Alligator mississippiensis: one gene and its partners. The protein of the gene in region 4 interacts with the protein of the main gene of each other region in a pairwise test. Links are inferred from orthologs where the notes say so. Each region holds a gene or a part of one and is shown on either strand. Other genes may lie near its edges.

Evidence for each region.
Region 1: the proteins of UBQLN1 (region 4) and CD99L2 interact in binary tests that used the Homo sapiens proteins (3 or more experiments, as listed by UniProt). The two-hybrid records come from large-scale screens. The link is inferred for Alligator mississippiensis from reciprocal best matches to the Homo sapiens genes UBQLN1 and CD99L2.
Region 2: the proteins of UBQLN1 (region 4) and MIEF2 interact in binary tests that used the Homo sapiens proteins (3 or more experiments, as listed by UniProt). The two-hybrid records come from large-scale screens. The link is inferred for Alligator mississippiensis from reciprocal best matches to the Homo sapiens genes UBQLN1 and MIEF2.
Region 3: the proteins of UBQLN1 (region 4) and SCG2 interact in binary tests that used the Homo sapiens proteins (3 or more experiments, as listed by UniProt). The two-hybrid records come from large-scale screens. The link is inferred for Alligator mississippiensis from reciprocal best matches to the Homo sapiens genes UBQLN1 and SCG2.

The regions. Positions count from the first base shown.
Region 1 is NC_081831.1:74,498,156-74,505,967, reverse strand, and holds the start of CD99L2 (CD99 antigen-like protein 2), read right to left. Parts: upstream 3,001-7,812; 5' UTR 2,944-3,000; coding exon 2,850-2,943; intron 1-2,849. UniProt on the Homo sapiens protein: Plays a role in a late step of leukocyte extravasation helping cells to overcome the endothelial basement membrane. Acts at the same site as, but independently of, PECAM1.
Region 2 is NC_081836.1:55,062,861-55,069,886, reverse strand, and holds the start of MIEF2 (mitochondrial dynamics protein MID49), read right to left. Parts: upstream 3,019-7,026; 5' UTR 2,906-3,018; intron 2,862-2,905; exon of another isoform or gene 1,278-2,861; intron 1-1,277. Other genes in the region: FLII (protein flightless-1 homolog), read left to right, coding at 3,318-3,380, 4,500-4,610, 5,149-5,220, 6,495-6,575. UniProt on the Homo sapiens protein: Mitochondrial outer membrane protein involved in the regulation of mitochondrial organization.
Region 3 is NC_081830.1:51,202,346-51,209,830, forward strand, and holds the start of SCG2 (secretogranin-2), read right to left. Parts: upstream 3,005-7,485; 5' UTR 2,890-3,004; intron 1-2,889. UniProt on the Homo sapiens protein: Neuroendocrine protein of the granin family that regulates the biogenesis of secretory granules.
Region 4 is NC_081826.1:202,971,545-202,979,280, forward strand, and holds the start of UBQLN1 (ubiquilin-1), read right to left. Parts: upstream 3,004-7,736; 5' UTR 2,868-3,003; coding exon 2,724-2,867; intron 1-2,723. UniProt on the Homo sapiens protein: Plays an important role in the regulation of different protein degradation mechanisms and pathways including ubiquitin-proteasome system (UPS), autophagy and endoplasmic reticulum-associated protein degradation (ERAD) pathway.

The DNA of each region.
Region 1 (7,812 bases), on a different chromosome or scaffold from region 4:
CATTTTCCTGCTGCATCCATAATGCAAACACTGACATGGAGTCCAGAAGTGGAGCTCTGTCCATGCTCACAGTAACATGTGAGCATGGGATGAAGACAAGCTGCAACAGTGGCAACCAACAAGTAAATTCAAGTAAAATTGTTGGAGACCTTCCCATCTGAACAGTATGCAATGTTTTGTACTTGGCTTTACCATTTTACCATTGTTTAAGAAAAACCCTTTAAGAGTCTCTAGGTGGGACATGTGTCTACTCTACAGTCCTTAGGAGGCTAAGGCAGGAGATGGGGGCACTGGAAGACTAAGATACTCAAACTAATCACTGGATCACAGTAAACTAATGCATCTATGCCTTACTTTTTAAACCACAAAAGACTGCAAGCCTGTGACATACAAACACTGAATAATGCTTAGAGAACGACAACAAATGGGGCAGAGGAGAAAAAACTATAGCAGGACCCAGCAAGTAGCTGAACTGGAGTCACTTGATTTTGTTCTTCAGCCCAGCTTTAAATGTCTTTAAGTATTTTTATCTTTTAAAGCTCTCCTCTTATCTCAGGATCAAGACTAGGATGCTGAACTACTTGATAGACTCCTGAAGAAGTGGTGAAATGACCCAGCCTTGCAGAAGCAACCTGTTTTACTCTGACAGACTATCTACCATAGATTTGATGGACGCTAGGGCTGGATGACCCCAGCAAGTTGAGCATCCAAGTGTTTCTTGAATGTATCCAGAGAACAGCATGAATTTTTCCTTTCTACTGTGCAAGTTCATAAATCCATAGATGATGCTGATATGATGAACTACTGTGACTTGCTAAAAACAATACTTACAAAAATATTTACATAGTACTTTGCATCTTTGAGGATCCAAGAGCCTTTGAACAAAGGCTTCTTCAAAAGCTTCCCCCAATGTCTTGTTGAAAATGAGTGGGACTTACTCTCCTCAACTGTTTGGACACATGAACAAGCCATTCATGCATTAGGTCCCTCTGGCAGGCAGTGCACAGAGAGGTCTGACACAGACAAATGCTATGTGGCACAGCAGTAGAGGACAGGAAACTTCTGGCCGGCAAGGCTAGGCCAGGCCAGGAGAAGAAGCCCCTTTTAAAGTTGACACAGAGCAGAACCCAGCTCCATTGCTTTAATCTTGGAGCTCATCAGCGTAAACTGAAGCAATCTGTCTGTCTTATCTTAGACGGATCAAGAGCCAAGGCAGCCAGGCAGGGTTTGGAGACCATTTAAACTGTTGCTTACAAGCAAATACAACCACTAGTAAACTCTCTCTAAACTACCCGTTCTTACTACTTTTTTCCTGCCCAAATAACATGTTCTAACAGTCTTTTCTACCCTAAAAAACTAAACATCATATACAAACTTTAAACTAAATATTTTGTAGCTCAACAATTCCCAAACTTTTTTCTTATTATGTACCCCCCACTTCCACATTTACCTACGTACCCCTACCAGCATATGTCTTATATTTTAACCCCTTCTGCCCATGATTTATAATAATGAAAATTAAATCCACCATTGTACAATTTCTCCTGCATACCCCCCACCCCAGGGCTGTTCTATGCACCCCCAGGGGTATGCACATCAGTTTGGGAACCCCAGTCTAGCTCAACAGGGAAGAGGGGGAGAAAAGTGAAGGGGGAAGGAGCTCTGCACAATTCAGACAAGTAATGAACTGCACACAGTGGGCAGCTGCCTACCTAAAACAAACGGAGATCAGACCCGAACCGCAGCGCTGTGACCTCCCAAAACAAAGGCAGCGTGCTCTGCAGAGCCCTGCTCCCTCCTGATCTTGCTGCTAGGACTCGGACCAGTCTGGACTCATCGGACCAGCGACTCTCGTCCTCACCCGCTTACTTGCAAATTTTATTTTCCTTCTCGCTTCGCTCCCAGTCCGACCTCCGAGTGTGCTGCAAAAAACCCCCCCAAAATCGCGCTGCCCGTGACAAACTTCATCCTGACTTAATTTCCTCCTCAAAAAACCTTTCCTTTCCTCCTCCTTTCCATCACCGTTATGCCCAGTGGGGCGGTTTCTAGCTTCGGCAGCTCCGATATGCAGACCCCAAAATGGGGTAGGGCTCATCTCCCCACACATCCCTAAGGGCCGATGCTGGCAAGAGTCCTGTGGTCTCCTGGAATAAAGGGGCTCACGGGCAAAAGTTTGTTGTAGGACGCTCAGCCACCTCTGCCTAACCGAAGCGGACGCATTTGGCCTCGGGCATCTACTATTTGGTGCATCGTGCACAATTATATAAATATAGCTGCATATGCATAGCTGTCGGGTGCTCTAGCTCATTTGTAACAGAAGTGGATGCATTTGGCCTCAGGCGTCCACTATTTTGTGCATCGTATATATAAACATAACAGTATGTATATGTGTAAGGTGCTCTCGGTCACCTCTGACAGAAGCGGCTGCATTTGGCCTCAGGCGGCTACTGTTTTGTGCATCGTATATATATATCGTTATATAACTATAACAGTGCATATATATTTGTAGGGTGCGCTCGGTCACCTCTGACAGACGTGGCTGCATTTGGCTGCAGGCGCCTGCCGTTTTGTGCCTCACAGACACATGTGCAAGCACGGTCCTGCGGGCAGCTGTGGGGTCATCTTTAGCCTTTGGCCTCCCATGTCTCCCATTGTGTGCCTCAGGGATGCGCGTGTGCGGCAGGGACACGAAGCCGTGGCGGTGGGAGGCCCAGAGGGGCCGAGTGTGCCGCACTCCTCTCCCGTTGCACACCCGCTGTGGCAGCCCCGTCGCTGCCCGCTGCCCCCCCCCCCCGCGGCCCGTGCCGGCAGGCGCGCACGAACAAAAGCGGGGCCGGGCCCCCCCTTACCTGAGCCGAGCAGGGCGGCCGCGGCCAGGAGCAGCAGCAGCAGCGGCGGCAGCGGGGGGCGGCGGCCCGGGGCCGGGGCCGGGGCCGGGGCCATGTCTGCGTCTGCGGCGCGAGGCTGTGGCGGGCGCTGCTGCGGCGTTGCCGGGCGGGCGGGCGGGGCGGGGCGGGGCGGGGCCTGGGCTGCGGGCCGGGCCGGATGAGCGGGGCCGGGGCCGGGGCCGGGACCGGGGGCGCGGGCGCGGCCGCCTGAGGTAATCCCGCGCCTCGCCTGGGGCCTTGCTGCTGCGGCGCGGGGCTCGGCTCGGCTCGGCCCGGCCGGGGGTGCGGGGGGAGGGGCGCCGGCCGCGCCGCGCCGCGCCGCGCCGCACGGCTTGTGGCGGCCCCGCGCCGGCGCGCCTGACACACGGGGGGGGCGCGCGCGTGTGTATGTGGGGGGGGGGGTGTGTGCGTGCGTGCTCGGTGTTGTGGGTGTGTGGGCGGGTGTACGTCATGTACACACCTGCCTGCGTACACGTGATTGATCTGTGTACAGATGGAGATACGCGTGTGTGATTTCAAAGGGCCATTGTTAGCAATAGATGAGCAGTGTGTGTATAGATGTGTGTGTGTGTGTACTTGTATGTGTGCGCGCGCTTGTGTGTGTCTATCTGTGTGCTTGTATGTGTCTATCTGTGTGTGTGTGTATGTGTGTGCATATATGTCTATGTGTATATAAGTATGTGTATATCTAGGTGTGTATGTAGGTGTGTGTAAGTGTATATGTATGTATATCAGATGTGTGTATGTGTGTGTATCTAGGTGTATATCTGGGGGGTGTATCTAGGTGTGTGTTTGTACGTGTATATATGTGTATATCTAGGTGTGTGTAGGTGTGCGTATGTGTATATATATGTGTATAGGTGTATGTATGTGTGTATGTGTATATATGTGTATATCAGGTGTGTATGTGTATCTAGGTGTGTGTATATATGTGTATATCTGTGTGTATCTAGGTGTGTATGTGTGTATATATGTGTATATCTAAGGGGGTGTATGTGTGTATGTAGGTGTGTGTATGTGTATATATGTATATATCTAGGTGTGTGTGTGTATGTGTGTGTATATATGTGTATCTAGGTGTATCTGGGGGGTGTATCTAGGTGTGTGTGTTTGTGTACGTGTATATATGTGTATATCTAGGTGTGTGTATGTGTGTATATATATGTATAGGTGTATGCATGTGTGTATGTGTATATATGTGTATATCAGGTGTGTATATGTAGATCTCAGTGTGTATCTAGGTATATATGTGTATAGGTGTGTGTATGTGTATATCTGTGTATATCTAGGTGTGTGTGTATGTGTATGTATATGTGTATATCTAAGTGTGTATAGGTGGGTGTATGTGTATATATATGTGTGTATCTGTATCTAGGTGGGTGTATGTGTGTATATATATGTGTGTATCTAGGTGTGTGGGTGTATGTGTATATATGTGTATAGGGGTGTGTGTGTGTGTGTAAAATAGGAGCATACTGGTGATCTATTCCTAACGATGACCCTTTGGTCACATATTGTATTCATATATACATACATTTTTTGCCCTCCATGTTCTTAAACACGGTGGCACACTCTTTGTCCACATCTCAGCATGCACCCAAAGGTGGGGCAAAGGGGTGTTTAGTTCCCCACTTTCCTCATAAACTCATCTCATAGGGCTGAAAAACATTCAGTTGTGGCAGTCTAAGTTAGAGTGCACATTGGCATTCAAGTACCAGAATATGCCTTTTATGCCCCAAAGTGTAGACTTAAGCCCCTGCATGGAAGACTTTGGGTAAAAGTAAATTTGCACCTTAAACTTTTTGTATCCCGTGTTGGAGATCTGGGATGCACAGTAATAGCTGTTTAGGACCAACTCCAGCACTCTGCAAATGTGGTTCTCCGTGGCTAGGCAGCCTGAAAAGGGTCAGATCTATGTTGACGGCTACAAAATATAGAATGACTCTTTTTTCTGGGATATTCATAAATCAAACAGTTCACCTCTGAAGCTCCTTCAGTAGTGTCTCAAGAACATCCTGTATCTGTACTGACTGTGGGTCTGAGGAAATACTGAAGATATAAGGTGGCACTGAAAGACAGCAACTTTAGCGATTCCACAACCTATTTATGTGGCTTTGGACTGGGAGGTAACACAGGAATTGTTCTGATCTGTTTCTCTTAGGCTTTTTTCTCAGACTATGTTGGCTGGATACAGCATTATCTGTGGCTTATGCAGATTAGTTTAACAAGGCTGTGGCATTTGCCATTTAAAGTTACCTTAGCTATAGGAAATGATTATGTCATTTATTTTAAAATGAGAGAACTGATCTCCTAGGGAGGGGGGGAAAGAGATTGCCTTGTACTTGCTGCATGTCAGCAGGTAGTAACCAAGTCATGTAACTTAATCTTATTTTTGATTATGTATTATGTGAACTCCTAGGAGTTTTCTAATGCAATTAATTTATTTCAGATCCTTATACTTCCAGGTCTCAGGCACAAGACATAGAGTGATTGTGTAAAATGAACTCATATACACACTATTGGAAAATTCTGGCTTGCAGTTGGTTAATCTTGCACTACACTAAAAAGAACCCCAAAACCAACTTGTCCCGCGTAGAACTATAATAGAATAATTGGGCCTCTGGGATCTAGCTCCTTTGCAGCCTTTGCAGAGATGCTGTAGATGTAGTCAAGAGTCAGGAATGTGGTCTTCATGAGCATACGTATGTGCTTCCTGATCTGACCCTATCTGCCCCCATGCACCCTTCTGCATAGTCTATTCCTAGCATTTTTCTAAGGTGGAAGGTCAAAATGTAGGTACATCTCAATAAGTTTCTTGCAGGGTTAATGTGCACCCACCTGGCAGCAGTGGGTACTGCTATTTCCTCCTTTGCTCAGTGCCATACCATGTTCTTAGATATTGGTCTGGTGGGATCAGCTGACACCCGAAAACTGAATATTAGAAACGAAAACTGATCATAAAATGCAATCCTGATTTCTTTTACCATTCAGTTGAATTCATATAATTGATTAAAAGATTATTTTCAACTAAACAGTGTTTCTGTTGTAGCTCTTTAGTGTGGAAGTCAGCTCTGCAGGAGGCCTCAGGAATGGCTGTTTTGCACAGCAGTTTGAGCGCAGTCTGGATGTCAGAGGCTCTGGGTTGCAGCTGTGATGCAGTATGTGGGTTTGCCTGAGTGTACAGCACAGAGAGCATACTTGGATAATGGTTCTGGGCACAAAATCTTTCTCTTGCTCTTTTAAAGGCCCGTCACATGGCTGCAGCTGGAATTTGAGTGGGACTTTATGAAACCAATGTGTAAACATTCCCATTCTGACTCACTTTTCAGAGGTGGCAGCGTGCAGGCATGAATAATGGCGCTCATTTCTGCTGGAAATACTAAATTCTGTCTTCCTTGGCTTGGAGATGGATGCGTTGATGTTCATAAGCCTGGGTAGTCAGTAGCTCAGATAGGGAGAGCTTTCTGCGCTGATATCTTAACATTGCTTTCGTTTAAAAGCCAAATGAAACAAATGCTTTAGAAATAATCTCAATCCAGGTGGAAAGACTCAAGTTTTGCATCCCACTCTCTGCTTCTTTTGATGTGGTCCTGGTTAACAGTGATTGAAAGGACTCGTCACCTAATGGGGTATTTTTAGTGGTGCAGGTGAACAGAGATGAATAATGTTAGACTCCCAACATGCATGTGTCCTCATTGCAGACATGATCACTGAAAGAAGCAGCCTCAGATGAAAAGGCTCTGGGCTGGATGGTTTGATAAAAATGCAGCTCGCACTCCCCTTGGAAAGCAGTCCCTCTGGAGAGACGGTGGGGGCCGGGGAGTCCGTGAAAATCTTGTGTATTGTGGTTCAGCAGAAGACTGCAAACTCTAAGGCTGGTCAATCCCAAACCTTTCAGGAACAGTAAATTGCTGTGGATTCAGTCAATTAGTTTCCATGTGGATCTTGTGGATCCTGTCTAGATCAGGTTGCATTGTGGAGCCTGCCCAGGAAAAGCTGTTAATGAAAGCGTGTGGGTTTCATGAAGGCAACGTAGTGCAGTGGTGTGTTTAGATTGTTAATTGCAAATTCTTCTCTAATGCTGCCGTAGCAGAAGGGGGGGGGAAATCCCGGTGACCCTTATTCAGCAGCAAGAAGGAAGTGAGGAGGAAATTGCAGAGAATACAGAGCAGCTCATGTTCAGCTGCTATGCAAGGCAGCTTATGCACGGATTCTCTGCCTGGTTTTCCTTCATCTGCTCCCCTTTTCTAATGAAAGAAAAGCTCAAGACAACGATCCCACTCAAGTTCAAACTAAATGAAATGAACAGGACAACATTTGTATTGCCTCAGCCTGTTTCCCCAGTAATCTCTCTGCATACTATTTGCATTTCAATAGCCGCCTAAGCTCCTAGTAATTATTGTGCAGTGGTTGGGTGGGGGTATAATGGCTATTGTACTGTATTAGAGTTCTGAGCGGATGAGAGCAGCATCAGCAGCAGCTGACATGACCTGCGACTGCTTGTTATTTGCCATGTTATCTGAGTCTAGAGCCGGCACCGTTGTTTGTGCTTTGATTCATAATTATGACAAAATAAATGAATTGAGCCAGTCGGTCGATAGGGAGCATGGAAGCAATGATGTGTTCCGGGGCCGGAGTGGAAGAGGGCAAGACAGAGCTGGACTGCGTGTTGGGAAGAGCACATTAACAATAATCAGGTGATGCCTAACTTGAATAATCACTCTGAAATAGAGGCTGGTGCTGACCTTGGACTGCCTCAACTCTGACTTAGACCCGTAAGATCTGCGGTCATGTGCAATCTGTTCCATGAGTTTTGAACCAGACCCTAAATGGTTAATGTCAAGAGTTAGGAGGAACACATGACTTTGGGCATGAGTGATGACTAGTCAGAGTCCCTGGTGTACTATCACACATGTGCATACAT
Region 2 (7,026 bases), on a different chromosome or scaffold from region 4:
CCAACACTTACCCTAGTATAACCCACTGTAGAGGACAAATGACAACTCCTTGAACTGGAATAACATCATCCAACCTGATGGAGGATGACCCCTGGAAGAGTCAAGCCAAGAGCAAGCTACACCAGTTTAGAGTTTGTCTGAGTCTGTCCACAACTAGCCATTTGCTAGAGATTTCAAACGGGCTAGCACTGAGGACCTGTAGCAGTCATCTACTGCATGGGCCACCCTGAGATAACCGCATGTCTGTCTGCTCCTGAGCCTGGTATAATGTGCTTCAGTCCATAAGTGGACATGCATTACACCTAACCTTAGGCCTGTTAGTTCCTCATACTCCCTTTCTTGGCTCTACATCATTCCACCTCCATCACCAGCCACTCCCCACCCCCCCCACACACACACTCTTCCTTCCTGCCTTCTTAGACTCAGTCTCTCCCACTCCCCTTCATGCCTCCACAACCAACATACCGTTTGCTATGACAGCCCTACTTATCAACACTACAGACACTGTAAAAAGATATATTACAACAGGAACACCAAGGCCTTCACAGGTTACTGAATCCATGCACCTGGTAGTGCAACAGCAGGAAAGGGGCACAAAGAGGAGGGCAGGGAGCAGATTCAGGCCGACCTGGACAGGTTGGATCAATGGGCAGAGAGAAATAGGATGCAATTTAATAAAGATAAATGTAAGGTACTCCACCTGGGAAGGAGGAACCCCCGGCACACCTATAGGTTGGGGAGTGTCCTTCTCAGCAGCTGGGAGGCAGAGAGGGATCTTGGAGTCATAATTGACTCCAAGTGTAACGAGGCCATCAACAAGGCCAATTGCACCTTGTCTTGCATTAGCAGGTGCATGACTAATAGATCAAAGGAGGTGATGCTCCTCCTCTATGCGACACTGGTCAGGCCGCAGTTGGAGTACTGTGTCCAGTTTTGGGCGCCGCACTTCAAGAGGGACACGGGGAATCTCGAGAGGGTCCAAAGGAGGGCCACTCGCATGATTAGTGGCCTTCGGGAAAGACCCTGGGGGGGAGGTTGAGAGAGCCGAATCTCTTCAGCCTTCACAAGAGACGGCTGAGGGGAGATCTTGTGGCCGCCTATAAATTTATTAGGGGAGGTCAACGGGGAATAGGTGATGCACTGTTTACTAGGGCACCCCAGGGACTGACTAGGAATAACAGGTGTAAACTAGTTGAGAGTGGATTTAGGTTAGATATTAGGAAGAAATTTTTCACAGTAAAGGTGGCCAGGATCTCCAAGAGAGGTGGTGCCATCACCTAGCTTGGAAGGCTTCAAGAGGAGGCTAGATAGTCATCTGGATGGGGCCATCTGACCTCGGTCCTCTTTCCTGCCTGGACAGGGGGTCGGACACGATGATCCATTGTGGTCTCTTCCGACTCTGCAATCTATGAAAGATACATCTTCCTCAGTTCTCTAAGGAAAGAGAGGTATCTAGTGCAACCGGATTTTCAGACTCTCATTGCTGCGAATTAACTGAATTCAAGACAGGGTTCAGCTCCAGCTCTCAGATAAGAGCTTGGCCTGTCTGTGGTAGTAAAGTGGGATGTCGGGAGTCCAGGCTCCAACATAGCCCAGGCACTTGTGAGTCAGTGGGACAAGTCACAGCCCTTGCGAGCACTTCCTTGTTTTGCAGAAGAGACAAACATGCAATAGTCCGGGGAAGGTGGAATATTTATGAACTGTAGACAAGGTGCTGGGTAAATACGGAGTATCATTAGCCATCAACAACCACAGCGTACACGGCCTTCCTTTAAGATCGGTGTGGAGATTGTGAAACTTCAATGCGGGGCAAGGTCCGTTCCAGATCATTTGTGTAGGCATCTTACTTCCTGCAGCCAGCAAAGCAAGCCAGGCCCCGGGCTCTACAGGCAGCATCAAGTGGCAGTTTGTTCTAACCCCCAAAGCCCCTTCTCCACGGCAGTCCTCTCCTTTCCCAGTTGTAGGGGCAGAGCACAGCGTTTCTACCCCCCAGCCCAGAGCCACTTCAGGTCCCTCTGCGAATGTCACAGCTCGAGCCCCGACAGGGTTGGAAACCTTAGGAATGACTCACAGATGCAGCATGGGAGTCACCCCCCAAATATGACTCCGCTTTGCTTGCAAGCAATGTCGCCATGGGAAGAGAAAAGCTGCAAACAACAGTGGAGGTGGGGATTAGAGGGTATTAGGAGCTCAGTGCCAGATTCCTGTTGGTTTGGGGCAGTTTGCCTATTATAGCCAAGACAGGTGCCCTGGTACCATGTACGCCTTGCAGCTAAGCAGCAACCCAGCGCCGAGCAGGCCTGTGCTGGGTGCATCTCTGAAACAGCCTGGAAGCTGGAACGCACAGCAGCGGAAAGCTCGTGAGGCCCCAGAAGGGCAAAAACACTAGATCCCAGGATCAACAGGGCTCTGAAAAGCTATCACTCCTTGAGGTGTGCTCATTAAGGGACAGAAACTAGCCCCTTCCAGGACGGGTCTCTTATACGAGCGGACGCCCCGACCAGGATGGTGCTGCGGCATGTGTTCACAGCAGTGCCCTGCACCAGGCCCAGGGCCTCCCCCGACTGCAGGAAGGAGGCTCGACCCCAGGCCGGGCACAGCCGCACGGACTGATGTTTCCATGCAGAGCAAGCCAGCGGGCAGGGCAGGAGCAGGCGGGGGAGGCCGACCGGCTCAGGGAAGCAAGAAGCAACTGCTTCCCCCCATTTCCGCTCCGAGCAGGGGCAGTACTGGAGCTCCCTCCTTCCCCGCCTGACCTCAGCTCCGGGCCGGAGCGGAGGGGACGCGGAGCCCAGTCCCGCCCGGGGAAGGGAAGGGACGGGACGGCCTCCCCACTGAAGACCAAGGGCTCAGCCCAACCCTCGAGTCACCATCCCCACCCGCGGGCCGCCCCGGCCGCACTCACCTTCCCTCTGAGCCCCGGCAGGGCCCGTCCACGGGACAAACCAGCACCTCCACAGCACGACCCCGGCGCTGGCAACAATGTAGCGGCGGCAGCCAATGAGCGAGCGCGGCCGCGTTGCAACGTTCCGGAATGGAACGTGCGTCACAAAGGGGGCAGGAACCCGGCGGCTCCTGGCCTTAAAGCCGCAGCGCCCCTATTTCAGCGGGAGGAGCGGCGCGGGTTGCTCGCTGTGCTCGGCGCTGTCTGGCGGCGGATCGGGATCGGGGTCGGGATCTCGCCCCTCCAGCCCCGGCGCGGAACGAAAGCCTCCAGCCCCGGCGCGCGGGTCCGCACCGAGACGCGGCGGCGAAGGGGTTAAGGGCGGGCGGGCCCCGCTTCCTGCGGGCGACGGCTGTCGCGGGCCGGCGGAGCCATGGCGGCCACGGGCGTGCTCCCCTTCATCCGCGGCGTGGATCTCAGCGGCAACGACTTCAAGGTACCGCGGCGCTCATCCTCCCTCGCGGCTGCCCTGCCTGCCATCGAGGGCCGAGCCCAGCCGGTGCCCGTCACGGTGCGATGAGCAGGCCGGCGGGGGAGGACCCACCCGGGTGCTATATTTGGGTGCCGGAGGGTGAGGTCAGGCCGGACTCTCCCCTGGCTCGTCCCCCTGCGCAGCTGGTGCCTCCCCGGCCAAGGGAGCGGGGCGAGACCCAGGTCCCACAGCAGTGCCACCGCGCTGGGGTCTGCGGGGGTGGGTGCAGGGTGGCTGTGCCCTGCAGCTGCTGGGACTGGGGGCCTCGGGCTGTCCCCGCCACACCCGCAGACCTGGTCCGGACGGGGAGCGGAAGGGTTGGGATGGGCCACCGTGCCACCCTGCCACCCCCACCTCTCCTTCTGGGGCGTCCGGAGGCGGGCGAGTCTCTTCCATCTGAAAAGCCATCTCCCTTGTGACCCTGGAGGGTGTGCAGGCCTGGCTGTGTCCTTTGCCATCCCGGATGGGGCTGGCCGTTCTCCTGGGATGCATTTTTGGGGCCGGCATCATCTCTGGGACGAGTTTCATATGACTTTTGCCTCTTCCCGGACTGAGTGCTGCTGTGCTGGGTGTCGCTTCCCCATGATTATCCTCCTTGGGCACGCAGCACCCAGTGGGAGGGTGTACGTGGCTCCTGGTCCGTCCTGCTGTCTCCTGGGGGCACACGGAGCAGTGCTGGGGTGGGCAGGAGGAACCGGGATGGATGCTTTGTGTAGGGCACTGGACTCACCTGCGTGCCCCCTCCCAGTCCTGTGTCTCCGGGAGCTGCAGGCCGTGCCCCAGCAGCTGAGAGCCCTAGAAGGGAAGGCAGCTACTGCCAGACCTGGGCTGCTTAGCTGGGCAGGATGACGCACGGCTCTGCTGGTTCAAGGCACAGGGAGCCCTGCTTCTGTGGCCGACAAGGCCCCGTGCACAGGTGGAGCTGCCTGCAGCCTTGTCTATGTGGGCAAGACCCCTGGTCAGCCTCACAACAGCGAGAGGGCCGGGTTGGGGCACTCACCTTCATGCAGGAGGCTATCCTGGGCAGACGAGGGATCTGGGACCCACTCCTCTGCCACAAATGCTTCCTCGCATCTCTCCCAGGGCGGCTATTTCCCAGAGCACGTGAAATGTATGACCAGCCTGCGATGGCTGAAGCTGAACCGCACGGGCCTGTGCTACCTCCCGGAGGAGCTCTCTGCACTCCAGAAGCTGGTAAGGACGGTGCCTGGATGCCGGGCACGCTCCCACAGGGTGGCTCCCCTTAGGGCTGGCGGTGCAGGGAGCTTCGAGTAAGGACAGGAGCTTGAGACACGGGCATTTGAGAGCCAAGGCATGGGCCTGGCAGAAGGTGAGTGGGAAGGCAGGTGGGAGGCAGTGGGGGCTGCCCGATCAGTGTCCTGGCATGTGCACACACGTGTGCACAACCGCCCCTTTGCTTTCCAGTGTCAGCTGAGAGGGGGGCCACCCAGCCAAGTTGGGCCCCTGGCACTGACACAGCTCACCCAGCTGGTGCCTGGGGCAGCACCATAAGGCTGGCAAAAGGGCTGGCCAGGAGGAGCCAGCACCTGCTCCTATGCTGATGGCAGGATCTGACCCCAGCTGCAGCTGCAGCTGTGAAAGGTGCCTGGGACCTGACCCAGGCTCACCGGAGCATGTGGGTTGACTTTCGAGGGGGCTTCTTCGGAGCTGATGGTGTGCAAGTCTCACTGTGTCCCTGGCTCTTCTCACTGCCTCTCTGGCTTCCACACAGGAGCACCTGTCTGTGAGCCACAACAGCCTGACCACACTGCATGGAGAGCTCTCTGGCCTCCCCTGCCTTCGGGTAAGTGCCCTTTGTGCCCCAACGCCCCCCGTGCAGGCGCTAGGGGCTTGGTGTCCAGCTACGTGGGCAGCCTCACCTTCGGCCATGCACAAGCCCCTTCAGCACAGCCAGGACTAGGGAGCTCGCTGGCCTGGTCTGCAGTGACATCCAGCAGGTGCCACGCAGCAGGGAAAGGTGGAGCTGAGTGTCCCAGGCCCCCGGCTGGGCTGAGGCTGGACCAGGCCACTGTGCCCACGTGCGGTGCTGTCTTGGATCGGTTCCCTGCTGGAGAAGCTGAATCCCTCGCTCCATGAAGATGCTTGTGGGGGCGTAGGGCTATAATCCTCAGCCCTCACCTTTCTTGGCATCTTGCTGAGCAGCTCCCCTGGCTGGGTGGTGCCAGACCTCCCCCACGCCTAAGGGCTGCTCTGGCCCAGTCTGTGCTGGGGTCGGGTGCTCCAAAGCCAGATTGCTAGGCTGCGCCCACTGCAGGGAGGGAGCGTGTGAAGCCCGCAGGGCCCATCATCTTTCCAGGGCCGGCGACGTGGCTCTGGGCCTTCGGTCACTTGTGGAGCTGCCTGCTGTGCTGGGATGCAGCCGGCCAGCTCCCGCCTGTGGCTGGAGGGTGCGGTTGGGGTTGGCTTGGGCTGGGTCCAGGACTGCTGCAGGCTTCTGGTTGATGGGGGTTTGTCCTGAGGATGCTAGCACTGCCTTCCCGGAGGGGAGAGGGACTCTGGCTTCCCACCAGCCTGCTATGGAGACCAGAGAGCACATGTGCAAGCGCCATTAGAGCCTTTAAGGTTTCCCTCCAGGCTGGTCTCTTGGAACGAGTTGTTCCCAAAGCCACCCTGGAAGCTGCCCTAGGGAAGTACCGGGGCCACCCTGCACCCCCACCCTGCTGCCCGGATGCAAGGCGGTCCCAGGACTCCTGGGTTCTGTCCCGTGTCTTCGTACTGACTCGCAGGGTGGCCTGGTGCACATCGGGGCTCCATTCTGCAGCCATGGACTCAATCGAGGGTACACTCAGAGCCCCCCTCTGGGCTGGAAAGTCCCTGGGGGCCACTGAGGTTGACCCAGCCTGGGGCCCTGTCCTGCCCAGGGGGGATCAGAGGCTGGAGGTACTTGCTGGTTCTGCAGGACTGAGCAGCTGGCGGGATGGAGCCCACAGGCTGGCAGGAGCTGGACAAAATCCCCACTGCTCCCTGCCCCCCACCCCTAGGATCCCTCCTCCTGCCTCTTCTCCTCCCTGCAGCTGTTGGGTGACCTCTGCCCCAAGCTCTCTCTCCCCTTTGCAGGCGATCGTGGCCCGAGGAAACAGCCTGAAGAACTCGGGCGTCCCCGATGACATCTTCCAGCTGGACGACCTCTCGGTGCTGGTATGTGCCGGGGGCTTGTGCTGGCCCAGTTCCCTCTGCCCGTGACATGGTCGCTCGCAGTGCCAAGACTCCAGCAGGGAGAGCGGAGTGGGCTGAGAACAAACCCAGCTGTAAAACCCTCTGGCCGGGCCATTTGAGAGAGCTTGTGAACCCAGACTCCTGGGGTCTGAGTCTGCCACTTCCTGGCAGCGTGACCCCGGCATGTCCCTTCACCCGTCAGTCACCACTGTTTGAGTGGGGCATTCCTGTGTGGCTTCCAGGTCAACAGCTGCCCAGGTTTGTGGCATCCAAAGCTCCCCCTGCTGCCAGTACTGGTAGCCCTGGCAGTGCCTCTTGTCCTAATTAACCCTTTACAAACCTGCCCTGGCTCCAGAAAGCAGGCGGCTTTGGGATCCTGGAAGTAAAGGCACAGCCCTCCGGACTTGAGACTGGCTAAAGTGCCTGGCTCTTT
Region 3 (7,485 bases), on a different chromosome or scaffold from region 4:
ACACGAATTCTAGTTAATAAGCTCCAGGGGTAAAAATTTCCCCATAGGCAATGAATATGCCAGAGGCTCCTCTGTGCCCTCTAACCAATTTTTTCAGGGTGGCCAATCAGTTTTTAATTTTGACTTTAACAAGGCAACAAGCCCAATTCTGTTTCTTTCAGTCAGAGTAGCTGCACTCATTTCATAGGAGTAGCATGGAGCCCAGAGTGGACATAATTCTGGAAACCAGAATGGGCCAAATTATGTATTGGTTTAAATGGATGATATCCCTTTATGTCAGTGCAGCTGCACCCATTGACACCAGCAGAGAATTTCACTCTATCTAAAAAATAGAAGTAAAACAAGTGAAAAAATGATATTCATCATACAGAAATCACATGAGTGGAGTATAGCAACATATGAAAGTGTATCTACAGAGGCTCAGTCCTGCAAGGAACTGCCCACTTTTTCACTCCCACTGTGGTCAAAGACACTTATCTCACAGGAATAGGCTGTAAGGAGTATTAGCCTCTTCCTTCTCTGATGCAGTTGCATTAATGAATAAAGTACTGTAAAGGAGAAAAAAGGTAAAGATAGAGAACACTTCTCTTAATTGACCTATTTTGGCTCTTCACTTTTCCCATGGGCTTCTGGAAAACATCCTGTTGAGGTGCTGGTGATTCATGCTGACAGAGAACCCCGCATATAGCAGTGTGTTATTCACCGTGGTAAGTAGAAAATTACAGTGGATGTGTTTCCTTTGGTTCACTCATAGGTATTTCCACTCAGGTTATTTTTCATTGTAGTGTAACATGAAATAGCTTGACACAAAGAACTAATGAAAACAGCATCAGTTCCCCAGAACTGTTTTTCCCTTTTCTCTGACTGCTTCAGACAATCAGTCTGAATATCAAATACATCATGCAGTAATAATCTACAGGACTGATACCTATGAATATCAGTTTTACTGTTGGTTAGAGGATCTCTCTAAATCTGCTGTAGTTTTCCATTAAACAAAATAGAGAGAGCTCTGTATATTCTGTTTCAGAAAAGGCTTCAACCTCGGAAAAAGCTCTCAAGACACTAAAAAACCCAAACACTTACAATTTTCTGTTTAATAAAATCTATACTAGTAATCAAATAAAATTAATGTTTCTAGTGGAAAAAAATAATATGTTTAATGAAAAGTTACCAACTAATATATTTAATCAAATACTCTGTACATTTTCATTTGGCAGAAAGTTTATTGCATAATAATTTTCCATAATAAGTAGTAAATATCTCTAGCTTTTCTAGGGAAAAAGTCCACTAATAACCTCCCACTACTAGAGGTGATGAATTCAACCACTTACAATGCATACAGTGTATGCATCTTTACATTTTCTGTAAAATGTCTGAAATAAATTTGAATTGGATGGATATACCAAGGCAAAGTTTGCTTTGGAGTTCTACTATCATTTGATTCAAGTGAATGTTTTGTTTTTAGAAAAGAGATCATATACAATTCTCTCATTGTATTGCAGGCATTCTTTTGATTGAATCTGTTTCACTTCTAGTGTATTATTAAATGATGTATTTTGTTTTGAGGTTAAATCTCTGACATTAGGCTATAAAATTATTTTATTAAACATAATGCCTTATTTAGGGTAAAAGTGCTTTACCTTGATATTTCAGAACTTTAATTTTACAATTTGAGAAAAATGAAGTACATTTTAAAGATGAATGTCTTAAAAACCTATACACAGCATTCCATATTAGTCCTCTTAAAATACGCCATTTTTAAATGGTTGTTTCCCCGATAGATACATAATTGAGAGATCAATCTAGATTGGTCAAGGTGTTTGTATTCATTTGTGTTGTAGTATCTGTATAGTTTGTACCTGACAAACAGCAAAATTATTCCTTACCCAAATTCTTTTATATCAGATTAGGCAGTCACCATTTAAGAAAATGAGGAAAGCAAATTGTCAGTGTAATGCACACTATCAAAGGTAACACAGTGACAGAGGTTCTTTAGAAAAGAAGCAAAATAATAAAATGAATTCTATCGCTAAGGTTTCCATGGCAGCAGTAATATTTCTCCCCCAGTCCCTCACTGTAGATTCACATGGTTCTCTGATAAGAATGTAAAATTTCCTATAAAAAATTGTCATGAGAACTCTTTTCCTATGGAACTTACAAAGATTTCATGAGCTCTAGTGAGAATGGGAGTCTTCCCATAAGGAAAATATGGAAAGGCAACATGCCTTCTTTATTGTTAGCAGATTTACTTTCCTAGCAATTAAAACTATATGCACTAAATTAGCCTTCTTAAAGCTGGTCTAAATTTGTATTCCTATGGCAAGGAGTATAAATATTAATAATAAAGACTATTTTTAGGGTCTCATAAGCCGAACAGTTCCCAAATTATTAAAACAACTGTTTAGATGTGTAGAGGATTAATTGAATTGTATTTGTATCCAAGGCAACCCCTCCTCTTACACCCATAAAGCCTAAAGAATGATGTTGTAAACATGTCAGTGAACCACTAAGAGGGTGAAAGATTTGCAGACAGAAACATGATGCTTGTTAGCTTCATTGAACAAATGAATCTGGTACTACATTGTAAACATTAACTGCAGAATCATTCACTTACCCTCCCCCCCGCCCCTTACTCTCTATTTTTGGTTCTACCCTTTTAATTATTTTAAAATCCTATAACAATTAGAGAAAAGAATAAAAAGGAAGAGGAAAAACCTGCAGTCAGCCAGGCAGCACCATTTCAGTGCCAACTGAAGTGCATCAGGTTGTTATTTCAAATGGTTGCCCCGGTTGTGCTGTTTTCCTACAATTGTGTAGTCTTTAAAATGCTATGAACAGAAAAGATTACATTGAGCATCTCTCTGCACTATGATAAAAAAGCTGCTTTACCTGTGTGTCTTAGAGACTGCAGAGTGACAGCAAAGCACCTTCCTCCTTGTCTGTCTGCTCCCAGTTTGTGGAGTGTTTTCAGCACCAGGACAGCTCCCTCTGCTTATACCATGCATCACCTGACTCTGCACTGCCACATTGACGTCACCTTCGCCAGTCACAAACCACCAGCCCAACTGAGCTGGTGAGAGAATACTGGAGAAAAGAATAGTTTCAGCTATTCTGAGACAATTTTGTCTGTATGTTTATGCCACCTGTCTGCCTCTAGAGAACACTGCAACCCTGATAGCGTCCAAAACACTGAGAACCTTTGAATAACTGAGATGCTCAAATCTTGAAAATAAGTAGGGTGGGAAAAAAAAAACCCTTATTAAATCTTTTAAAGAAGTTCATATGCTGAGTACAAGAAATAGAAAGTACCTAGCTTCCTCTGGCTCTCAGCACCCACAAACACTTTAAGAATGCCCAGAAAAGCATTTAGCAATGTAAAATAAATAAATGCTTCACTTTCATAGGTGAAAGCCTTCCCCAGATATTTAGCTGTTAAAAGACCAGGCTCTGTTCAGAAAGAACCCACATAAATATTTCTAATTTCAGTAGGATTGGGAAGATGATGCAAGTGGAGACTATAAAGCATGTACTGTTGACCTAGGAGTAGGGTGATAACAAGGTAGGGCTCACAGGAAACAACAGGCCAAGATCCCTAAGGTGCAGTTTTATACTTGTCTCTTTCAGGATCCTGCCATCTAAAAGCACATCAAAAGTGCTGGGAAAGGCCATTACTGAACAACCCCAGCCTTTTAATGCCTTTGGGACAAATCCCACCCCTCAATCTGACATGGAAGATCCAATGGAGCAACCTCAGTGCCTGCAGGAGACTGGGGCAGGGTTGTGACCATCTATATTAATTCACTGCCCAAAACTAATGATCAAAAGTATGCAGGAGTGCAAATGTTACTGCATCCCATGCAGGCGGAAGAGCGGCTCTTTGCTGTGGCTCAGAGATGGAATGGAACTGCAGGAACAGCAGCGTTGTCCTATTTTTTTCCTCCTGGATTCAGGAGAAAGAGGAAGGTGTATGCAGGAGAGAATAAAGGTAATAGCAAGTGTTACTGTATCCCCATGTAAAAACTAGCATTTTATTTCAGTTTAAATTACATACTAGCTTTGTAAATGCTAGATCTTATACAGGTAGGCAACTAGGATAAATAAATATGGTTTGCTTGTAAGTCAGTGCAAGATATAAGCACATCACTAAAACCCATTTCTGTATGACAGTAAATTCCTTCTGCTTCCTTTTATTCCATAACTGTTATTTCACCTCAGCTAATAAAACAAGACCTTCTTTTCCCCCAAATTAAATCTTTCCTGACAATTCTGACCTGTTACAGCACAAAATTAAAAAATTAGAATGGCTGTACCTTCTAAACCAATAAATGTTACAGAATTAAATTGTCATGAGGAGAGCAAAAATCCTGACACAAGCACAGACCAGGCACCTCCTCACTATACTGGATGTAGCTGGAAAGGACCTCTGGAGCCCTTTCTCTTTCCACCTAACATAATGCTCCTAGTAAGATATAGGATAAGACTGTGTTTATCCCTTTCAGGAAAATGAAAATCTCTTCAGACTACCACTGTCCTGTAGGGTACCAACAATGGGCAAGGCAGAGGCGAAGGAGGGAGAGTTAGAGAGTTTTGAACAGTTGTTTCCAAAAACCAAGCCCAAGATAGCATGGTCTAGCATGTTGGGAGTCAGAAACACCTACGTTCTGTTGCCAGCTTACAAGACCTTTCACTGCTCTATGTCTGCTCCACTTATTCAGTTCATTTTGGCAGGGTCTCTCTCACACAGTGAATATGTACCGTCTGTAGCATGAGACAACCATCACTTTCTTAGTGCCTTAATCAGATGAGCAGAAAACAGTGTCAGGAAACATGTTTACTTGGCTGAGGGAAACCATATTTTCCAACACCAAAATATGTAACTGTTCCTGAAGTCTTAACTTCAGTCTGTTTCCCAGTTTGTACAAACGGGGATCACTAAAGGTCAGCTGGCTTAAAAATAAACTAAGATTCTATCAGTGCTGAAGTAATTTTCCCCCTACTATAATTTTAATGGCAACAAAAATAATCTACAACTTATTGCAGACATGGAGTTTCTAATAGAATATCTGCAGTTATCACATTTCAAAATTATTTCCTTCACCAACATAAATGTCTACAATATCTATTTCTGTGGGTAGAGGAGAGCTTTTCCTTCATCCAGAAAAAGTTTGTCACCTCAGATACAGAAATTCTAGAAAATATTTTCAATTTTAATCTATTTAACCTCCATTTAGTCTTATATTGGAGTGCTTATTTCTTCACAGTTGTATGTAAATATCTCAGACCTCAACAAACTTGAAATGCAATAAAAGGCTCAGAATTTATTATCTGAGTCAAACAGAAAAAAAAAATGTATAAGAGAAAAGTTAGGCTTTGCTAAGTTTCAAGTTGTAAGCACAGTCCTGGAAGACCAAAGAAGTCAAAGTAAAGCAAGAGTCTGAGGAGTCCTAATCACTGGACTGAATTCCACATTCAACAGAATCAAATCGGTCCAAAACCAGTCTGACTGACACGCAGCGCTGATCAGCTAGTGCTCATTCCACAGGGACATTCAGTGCGGCTCTGCTTTCCCAGGCTCGCTTTATGGTGGTACATGCTCATGCTGAAGCCATGTGCACCACACCACTTCTTAGTGGATTTTTTGACACTGGGATCTCCTGATGTAAAAAAAGCCTGCCATCCTGCAAATCAGCAGCATGGTGAATGAATGCATACATGTTGCCTGTGATTAGCGGCACCACAAACATGCTCGTGGGGACATGCCCCTAGAGTGCAACCCTTGGACAATAGATTTTACTCTATTCTGCCTTTCAGAGAGGAACCATGCAGCTCTTTGGGTTTCTGAGCTGCAGTCTTCCCGTTCTTCAGCTGTTGAAAAAAAGGCAAGAGTTCAAATCACATTCAGCACCTATAAAACCATTCCCTCTGGGAACATGTGGCCAGAGGCTGATTAAAGTGACTCAAAACCAGCTTCTCTATGATGAAGTTTTATTAATATACTCAGGAGGTAGAGAAGCAAATTAGAAGACAGTTTATGTGCTTGTGTCACACCTAAATTATATGCCTGGGTCTTAACAAAATTTGCATGTATTAATAAGTTCTATTCAACCCTGTTCCCCAAAAAACATGACTTTAGGTCTGAGAAAGACAAACAGAACACGCAGCAATCTCTGCCACTCTCTGTCTTCCTCCAACACTCTCTTTTTCCCCCTGCTTTTCCCAACCAGCTGCTTTCCACTTGCCTCCATGCACTCTGCAGGGTCTTCAATAGTTTTAATATTATTTTGCTCTTAAAACCTAGCAAAAATAAACTCGTTATCTTAGCTGAGGTGGACAGGTAGGTATTTGTTAATTAACAGCCCCCCACATCATTTCCCTTAGGGCTCTTAGAGATATCTTATCTCTGTTAATGTTTCAATTCCTAAAAAGCTCAAAGCAAACAGGAAAATGTATTCATGCAAAAAATATTCATCCCCCTGACTCCACATAACCATTTAGTTCAGAATTCTGCTCAAAGAGAATAATTTCTGCAGTAATCCTTTGCTGTGTTAACTTGGAAACCAGGAAACCTAGGAGGGCCCCAAAGCAAGATCCTGCAATACATAATAGATTAGCCAAGAAGCGTCAACATGGCATAAGTTTTGTAGCACCTGGTCTCCCCCCATAAGTTTGCCTCAGAAGATGAGCAGACAATTAATGTGCATGGAAAACACTAAAACCCAGAGAAGATATTAAAAAAGACAGTTTGCCATTAATGAGAAAAGTTCAGTGACCCCTAAATTGTAAGATTATTTTTATTTTACATACTGTAGTGAGAGAGAATTGGACAGGTGTTGAGGCAAAGTGTAATTTATATGTTGCTACAGGAAAACTTCAACAGGAGACTATTTTAATACAGATAAATACTAGGATTATCACTCTTAATAGTGTTACAGTAGCACCAAGGGCCTCAGAGATCAGGTCCACTGCTATCTTGAGCTATACAGTGACTTGCCCCAGGTTACACAGCAAGCCATTGGCAGAGCTGGGAACGAATGCCAGGCCTCCTAACCTTAGGTCCTGTGCTTCATCCATTAGATCATTCATGCTGTCTCTTAGGCCCAATTCATTGTCGCCTTGTGGTTCCTTTGTTTCAATTACGAAGTCCAGCCAACACAGAACTGTCAAGATTGTAGAACCTGGATGTATTTCATATTTCTGTTTCATATGCCCCTCAGATTCTGAACTCACTGAACTAAAGTTGCTTCCTGTTACACAGTAGTGGCCGAGATCACAGTCTGGCCCTCTGGAATTTAGTCTTTGCTAATGCAAGCCTGTCTGCCTCAGGCTGCTTCACATTTGGGGATGGCTCTGCCAAAGCATCTCAGTTTGTCCAATAGAGCTTTTTTTGACAGCATTTGCACCTTGTGTTAATGATAGCGTACCAAATCTTCATCTGATGCAAATGAGAACAAATCCATTGAAGGGAAGTCAACATGTCAAATAAGG
Region 4 (7,736 bases):
TTGGACATTATTTGAAAATTCTACCACAGTGACAGTAACACTTTACACATCAATCAAGCAGCACAAAACAGACTCAGCATTGTACAGGCTTTTCTAAGGAGCCAAAGCATTTACTTGGATTCCAACTGCTCTACTCTAAAGCAAACAACCCAGTGAACTCTATTTAAAGGGACAATCAATGTCTCAAATTACTAACCATTTCCTTCATTACAAGGTGATTTGAAAAGCTATTTAGGTACGTCTACATGACAATGGAGTACCATGCAGAAACACCTATGAAAGAACAAGCTTATGTACTAGAGCCTACACTGCACCTGGCAGCTAGATAAGAAATTTACCCTTTCTGGTTCAAAGAGGTACCACGTATGACCTCAACTTGCATAGGACTACACAGGCACTCCAGACATACCTATAAGCTACTAAATAAGTTCAGGACCGTTATCCATTTTTGGAAGAGGATAATGCCAATAACTTGCTTGCATTAGTCAAATAAGCCACTGTTCACAACAGATACAGACGATTTGATGCTCAAAATTTATTTGGTTCTGTCTGTACATTGAAATTTTCACTGCTTATGCAAATGAAACCATTGTTGATACTGTTAACAATAGGTCAGTTTCATAGTGTAGGCGTAGCTACTAATACCTAAGATACAGGAACTGCAGGCCTTAAATCCCTGTAGGGGTTAGAAGTTGCCTCCATTTTTGTATAGGAATCAGAAGTATGAGGGCTGGAAGTCAGAGGTGAAGTCTTCTTGGCTTCATTACAATCAGTGGGAGTTTTTTCCACAGACTTCAACAGAGCCATGATTTAACTCAAGGTCTCCTCAACAGGGTAAGCTTATTTTAACCACCTTGCTTATCGTATCTGCATTTTAAGTGGGCACACAAATATTCTGTAAATCGCTTTGTGAAAGCATCTCATGTCTCTGTTTAAAAAAAAAAAAAAAAAAGCCTAGCAATTTCAATTTTTAGACAGCTGTCAGAGGAAACACTTCACCTGTTTTAAAGCTTCACATTTAAGAAATGCAATTCAAAATTAAATGTCTAGCTTAAATGTCTTTGGAACTATTAATGGCAAAAGTCACATCTAAGTGCATTTCTCTTCCCAGTTAGTTATAAATACAAATGTCAGTGTATCCATTTGCAACTGGAAAGCTGTTTGAGCAAACCCTAATCTAGTGCCTGCAAGACCACAGGGACATTTTTTAAATTATTTCTTAAAAGGCTTTTAGGTCATCAGCTTATACTTAATTGCATAGTGTCATTTTTACCCAGTAAGGAGCTTTAAATTAAGGAGGAACATCCATCAGTTTTTGTGAAATGTGCATCTATATTCCCCAACCATCTCTAAACAGATCAGATGTGATGCTGTACAGGTTTGACAAAAACAGCAGAAATAAAACCAGTCAGTTTCAGGGATACTACTCAGGTCTCTGTGAGCAGCGAGGAAATGCAAAGAACAATGTCCATTTTACACTGCTGTTTCTTGGAATGGCAGTGAGCAGCAGCAAAGGCAGATGTGCTTGAGTTTTATACTGGGGAGAAAAGCCAGAAAACATGCTTGCAACAAACTAACAGAGAACACCCAACCCTGCCACAGCTCCATGGTAGCATGGTGGAGCCTAGAGATGTTTCCCCTGCTCAGCAGTAAAACAGTGAATTTTACAATTTCAGACATGTTTAAGCCAAAAGCTGAGATAAGAGACTGAATCCCAAAAGGGCTCAGGGACGATACCCTGGAAGAAATTCCAGCATCCTCCCCCTTCCTGACAGCTAGCAAGAGGGAAAGTCTAGCCAGGGGGCTGGCCCTGCATCTTGCTACTGGAACCCCCATCTTGTTTTGGCAGCCTTGTCCTAAAAGGTGGCTTTGTTCTTTAGCTACCAGGCAGCTGGCACGTCAGTCTCTGCATGTAGACACTGGCCATGTACACAGGCAGCAGGCTGGGCAGGGTGGCCCCTTACAGACTAACTCACAGGCACAAGCCAAAGGCTACATACAGCCTGCTATGTCAGATGCTATGGAGAAACAGGCAGCAGTACCACGTGGGAAGAATACAGCTCATTAGGCCACAGAAAAGGGAGCTATGACTTCAACAGGAACGCTTCCAGCTAGGCTGAAAAACTTGAATGCATTTCAACACAGGTGCAAGACCAGAGCAGGCTGTCCTTGGCCTTGGAGCCCTATTTTTTTTTTTTTTTGGGGGGGGAGAGGGGGGCGGCGGTGTTCAGCCAGACAGCTCTGGCCCTAAACCCACCTCTTTCGCTAGTTCCCTGCTCTTTTCCCACCACTGCCAGCCTGATCTGCCCCGGAGGACAGCAAAGCAGTGGCACAGGCTGCCTAAAGAATTTGTGGAGTTGCCATCCCTGGAGACCTTTAACACAAAGCCCTGGCTGGCGCCACACAGATGGGAACGCCCTGCTCAGAGCAAGGAGCTAGACTAGACCTCCACAGACCCTCCTTTTCTACCATCTCATGGACTCGCACTGGGTCCGGACTGGGGTGGACAGGTCAGGTCCCCAAGGGGGGTGTGTGGGGGATGATTCAGCGGGTGCCACTCACCCCAGCCGGCCCCGCACAGGCCGGCGGCGCCCGGAAGCGGGGGGGGGGGGGAAGGCCGCGCGCTCCGCCCGCCCCGAAGCCGCTGGGAGCTCCGAGGCGACGGGGAGACGCCCCGCGGCCCTGGACGAGAAGGGGCGCCCTCTCCCCCGCTCCCTCCTCACCTGCCGGACGCTGCTGGTCTCGGACACGGCGAACTCCTCCTTCTCTTTGGGCGTCTTCACGGTGACTTTAATGATTCGCGGCTCGGCGGCGGGGGAGCCCGGGGGGCTGCGGGCCGCGGGGGGCCCCTCTCCACTGTCTGCCATGGCGGCGGGGAACCCGGCTCGGGACACGCTCCCTCGCGCCGCGCCGCCGGAAGCCCTCGCGGCCGGAGGGTTCAACGGAAACAGCCCGGCGGAGCGTGGCGCGCGGTGATGACGTCGCCCCGCGGGGAAGTTACTAGAAGGGGGTGTCTCCCGGCTTGGCGTTGGAGACGCGGCTCAGCCACGCTGCGCATGCGCAGCAAAGTGACTCTGCATTGTGCGTGCGCGGTAGGGCCGGGCGGGCAGTGCGCATGCGTGGGACCGAAACGGGGTGGTGTTCCGGGCTGTGAAGAGGGGGGTACTTCCGGCTACTGCCGGGTCACTCGCTGCGCGTGCGCATGTAACACTAGGGTAAAGGGTGCGTAGCAGTCCTGACGCGCATGCGCTGTGGCTGGTTGGGTTCGGCCGCCGGTCGTGTAGCTTGCTCTTCCAGCTGCGCGTGACCTGAGCACGGGCTCAGGCGGGGGGTTAAGGCTCAGCGCAGCTTGCCCCCTCCCCCCAAAAGTGAGGACGGGCTACAATATCAATTCAGGAACAGCACACTACTAATACAACACCCCCCACCCACTCAGTTGCTTTACCCTCGTTTTGAGAATATGCTTGCTGGTGCTGATCACCCCACAAGGCAAGGGACAGAAGTTACACATAAACGGGTTGAAGTGATCAGAAGCTGGTTTAAACCTATAACAGAACAGAAGTTCAGTGCACACAGACCAGTTTCAAAATGGCTGAAACCAGTTTGAGAGAAACCTGGTTGAATGTAGTATCAGCCTGAACTGATTTAGGTCAAACTAGTTTATAGAATTTCTGTCCCAGACCCCTTCCTGGGTTAAGTTAAACCAGCCTCCCAGCATGCTCTGCAGCCCTGGGTGGTGCTGTACTATGCGCTGTGCTCCAGAGAGCAGGGCTGGCCCTGCCCTTCTGCTCTCTAGCTGGAGTAGGGGTGGGGCTATGGCCAGATGCCAGCCTGCCATGGCCCCCTGAGGCAAAGGGGGCAGGGAGGAGGTTTATTTCCCCCACCCACCAGGGGACCACAGCTGGGGTCTGCCTGGCCAGGTGCAAGCAGCAGAGGCAGTAGCTGGGTTGGGCCATGCTGCAGTCTCTTGGTGGGAGAGGGGATGGAGTGGGGAATAAACTTCCTCCCTGCCCACTTGGCCTTAGGAGACCATGCTAGGTTTGCGTCTGGCCACACCCCAGGCAGCAGCGGGGAAGCTGTAGATGCAGCACAGCCCTGTGCACTAGGGGCAGGGCCCTACCCCAGGGCTTCCCAGCTGTTGTCTGCACACCTGGTAGCTGACCGCAGTTCGGCAGTGGTGTTGGCACCTACCTGTACGGCCAGGGCAGGCACCCAACAGTGATGGCGGCAGCAGGGAAGCCACAGGGAACCTGGAGCCTGGTACACGGGGCTGTGCTGTGCCACCACTGGATAAGGGAACAGTGAGCACAGTGCGCCCAGTTTGGTGCCCAGGGGACACAGGTCATAGTGCTGGGGCTCAGCAGGTGAGCTCCTGCCATGCACAGCATAGCAAAGACTGTGGCCGTCTCAGGCGCTGCGCTCCAGTGGGTAGAAGGGGCCACTGGACAGGAGCTTTCCTTTATGGAACTTTGCTCCTAGGTCCCTCTCTCCCCACAATTAGGCCTTTGCTTCTGGGCTGCCCCAAGTAAAATTAGGCACCAGCAGCTGGGAAGGTGCAGTGGGATCACCTGCTAGCTGGGACAAGGGCTTTGGGGGTTCCAGGCCATGCTGAGCCATGAGCAGAAGGGAACAAGAGGGGTAGACCCTGGCTGGGGTCCCTGCAGGCCAGGCTGGGGGTTTAAACCCCTGTCCAACGAACTCAGTCTGCTGAGGCCTGGCCACACCTGTCTCAGTTCAGCTTCCCCCTAGCCTGAAAGGAAGATCTCTGGCTTCTAGCCTGAGCCATCACAGGCATGTGCCTGCATTTCCAGAATCAAAACTGAACCTCTGGTCACTTGCAAATCAGTTCAATCTACATTGGTTAGACTAACCTGCAAATATTGAATCAATTCAGGCTCTGGCTTTTTGAATGTCTGTCCCTAGCCTAGATCACACTGCACCCAGTCCTTGCAACACAACCTAAAAAAACACTGACTCCTGCTTCCATTGCTGTGTCAAGAACACTACAATGCCCTGAAAGCATCCGTTCCTCACCACAAGCTGATTCCTGCACTGTGTAACACCTATTTCAACCAGCCATTATTCCATGGGTGCGTCCAGACAAGCATGGACATGTGGTACATGGCACCTAAGACCCATCTCCGGTGCCACACACTGCACATGTAGGCATTCCCCATGCTGCTACTTTGCAGTGCAGGGAGGAGGGGGGGGGTTGACCCCAGGGGAGCCTAGGGTCAAAATAACCCACACCAAAAAAAGCAGTGTGTTGCACATGGCCGCAGCGCATGCTGCCCACAATTGGAACCTGGCTGGCCAGTGCCACACTTGGGCTGCCAGCTAGGTTTCCAGCTGCAGGAGTGCCACAGCTGCTGTTCCCTATATCCCCCAGAACCCCAGGTAAGGCATCTGGGGCCAGCAATTATGCTGGCCCCAGCCTCTCCTACCCCACCCAAAGTAACCTGCCACATGCCAGAGCATTCCTGGCACAGGTGTTTCCTGGGGATAAGCACCTGCAGTGCAAGGCATTCAAATGTAAGCTGTCTCATGGAGATACCAAATTCAGATGGAAGTAACTACTGGCAACTGACAAATGAACTCAATGGATGACCAAACTATACACAAGTAAAGAACTGTGGAAGAATTTTATCACTCTGAAATTAGGCCCAGGTGTCGGTACTGCTCAAATTGAAGTCAATCTTATCTTATTACCTCCACCACCCCAGCACATTGCCAGCATTAAATTATACAGGTTGTGAACTGCTAGTGGGGCTCCCATAAATGGAAGGAGAAAAAATTATTGGGAGGGCTGAGTGCATCTGTGCACCACACCCCTGCACCCAGCAGGCAAGTGTGCAGGAAGGGCGGGGGGGAGGGGGGGGAAGATGCAGATTGAGGTCCCTGCGGTGAGGGAGGGAATGGGGCAGAGGCAGGGGTAGGGACTGCGGTGAATGGGGCCCTGTGGGACAATCAGAGCCCAGGCGTTTCATCCAGGGGTGCAGGGGGGGCTCCTGCTGCTGTGTGCACCCTGGCAGAGGCCTGGGGGGCATGTGCCCCCCCCCATCTGTTCACGAGACAGAGACAGCTCTGGGCCCTGCTACAGCTGCTCCAGGGGCAGCACGCGTGTCCTGCCACTGGGCGAGCTGGGGGCACGGTGCAGCCCAGCAGCGGCAGGCGCGTAGCGTCCTACCACTCCTGGGGCAGCTGTAGTGGGGCCCAGAGCCTGAGCACACAACGACAGCCACCTCTGCCTCACCTGTAGGTTGGGGGGACATGTGCCCCTCCCCCCCCAGGCCTCAGTCAGGGTGCACACAGCAGCAGAAGCTGCCCCCCCGCCCGGACAAGCTTCCCAAGCTCCGATTGTCCCAACACCCAGCCTGGCCAGGGCCCCATTTACCACAGCCCATGCCCCTGCCTCTGCCCCACTCTCTCCCTTACCATGGGAACCTCGATCTGCCTCCCCATGCCCCTTCCTCCTAACAGAATAGACTGATGATATTTGCCTGTTCTCAGGGCTGGCCCACAATGTTTTGGGGCCCCCTGATGCAAAGAAGCTGGCAGTAGCATGGTGGGGGGGGGGGGAAGAGAGCTGGTGGCAAGCAGCTGAAGAAGCCAACGGCAGTGTCAGGGGCAGGGGCTGGCTGCGGGGCCCCCTGCAGCTGCAGGTTCTATTGGATAAGATGAGTCGGCCTGCCTGCTATGCTGGGCAGCCAGGGATTCATATGCCAGGCTGCAATCCTGGCTGTGTGCATGCCCCTCCCCACCCCTACTGCAGCCACCTGAAGCCTGCGGCCAGGCAGCCCTGCGGCTTTACCTGCTGCCCCGCATTTGGCGGGGGCTGAATCCCTGACCTTCTGCCACCTGTGGGGGTGCCCTGCCTCAGTGAGAAGGCACAGAAAAAATTAGAATCTGCTGCAGTCCATCTCTCTCTCTCACACAACCTTTCCTTCAATTAGCAGGTGTTAGTGCAGCCTCAGTATTACAACTATTCCATGCCTGGGACCAAAGACTTCCTGTGCTCCCTTTTTCATGTGAATTCTCCTACTGGTCAACCCAACTATTTATGTAAGCACTCGGGTGAAGATGTTCCCCATAGGAGCCAATCCTGGTGTCTCATAATCAAACCTCTGTAACTGTAGTCAGTAGTCCTTTGCCCCTACAGGTCTGGACATCAAGCGAGAAATGCAATCTGTTTTATAAGCATTTAAATAAGAGTTATTAATAAAAAAGCTGTGGAAACAAGGGACTATATTTTGATTATGTGACCCAAAACTCTGTTGCATTTTAACAATGTTAAGGACATTGCAGTAATATCTGTATTATACTGCAGGTATAGAGCAAAAAATATTGCAAGTCTGTTGTACACAGGACATGCTGGAATTTCTAAACCCACTGCTATTCTTACATGAGGTATAACTAATCAAAATAATACAATATTTTTTGTCAACAAGCAGTTAAAATATCTCATGAAGTGTATGCAAGTGAAAAGCTGTTTTTCTAAAAAAATGCACTTTAAGAAGAGGTGGTAAAAGGAAAATATTTGTTTTTATGAGCTAAAGGAAAAATTTCTTGTCAACATCTTATTTAGGTTAAGTTCCAATTTTAAGTTTTCATTAAAGAGTTCCAAAATTTAAATAATGTTTTCATTTGTAATGGGAAGTAAACCTGTTTTTAAAATATTTTAGTAGTAATACATTCCACAATTAATATTAAAAAGTATTTATACTATATATACACAA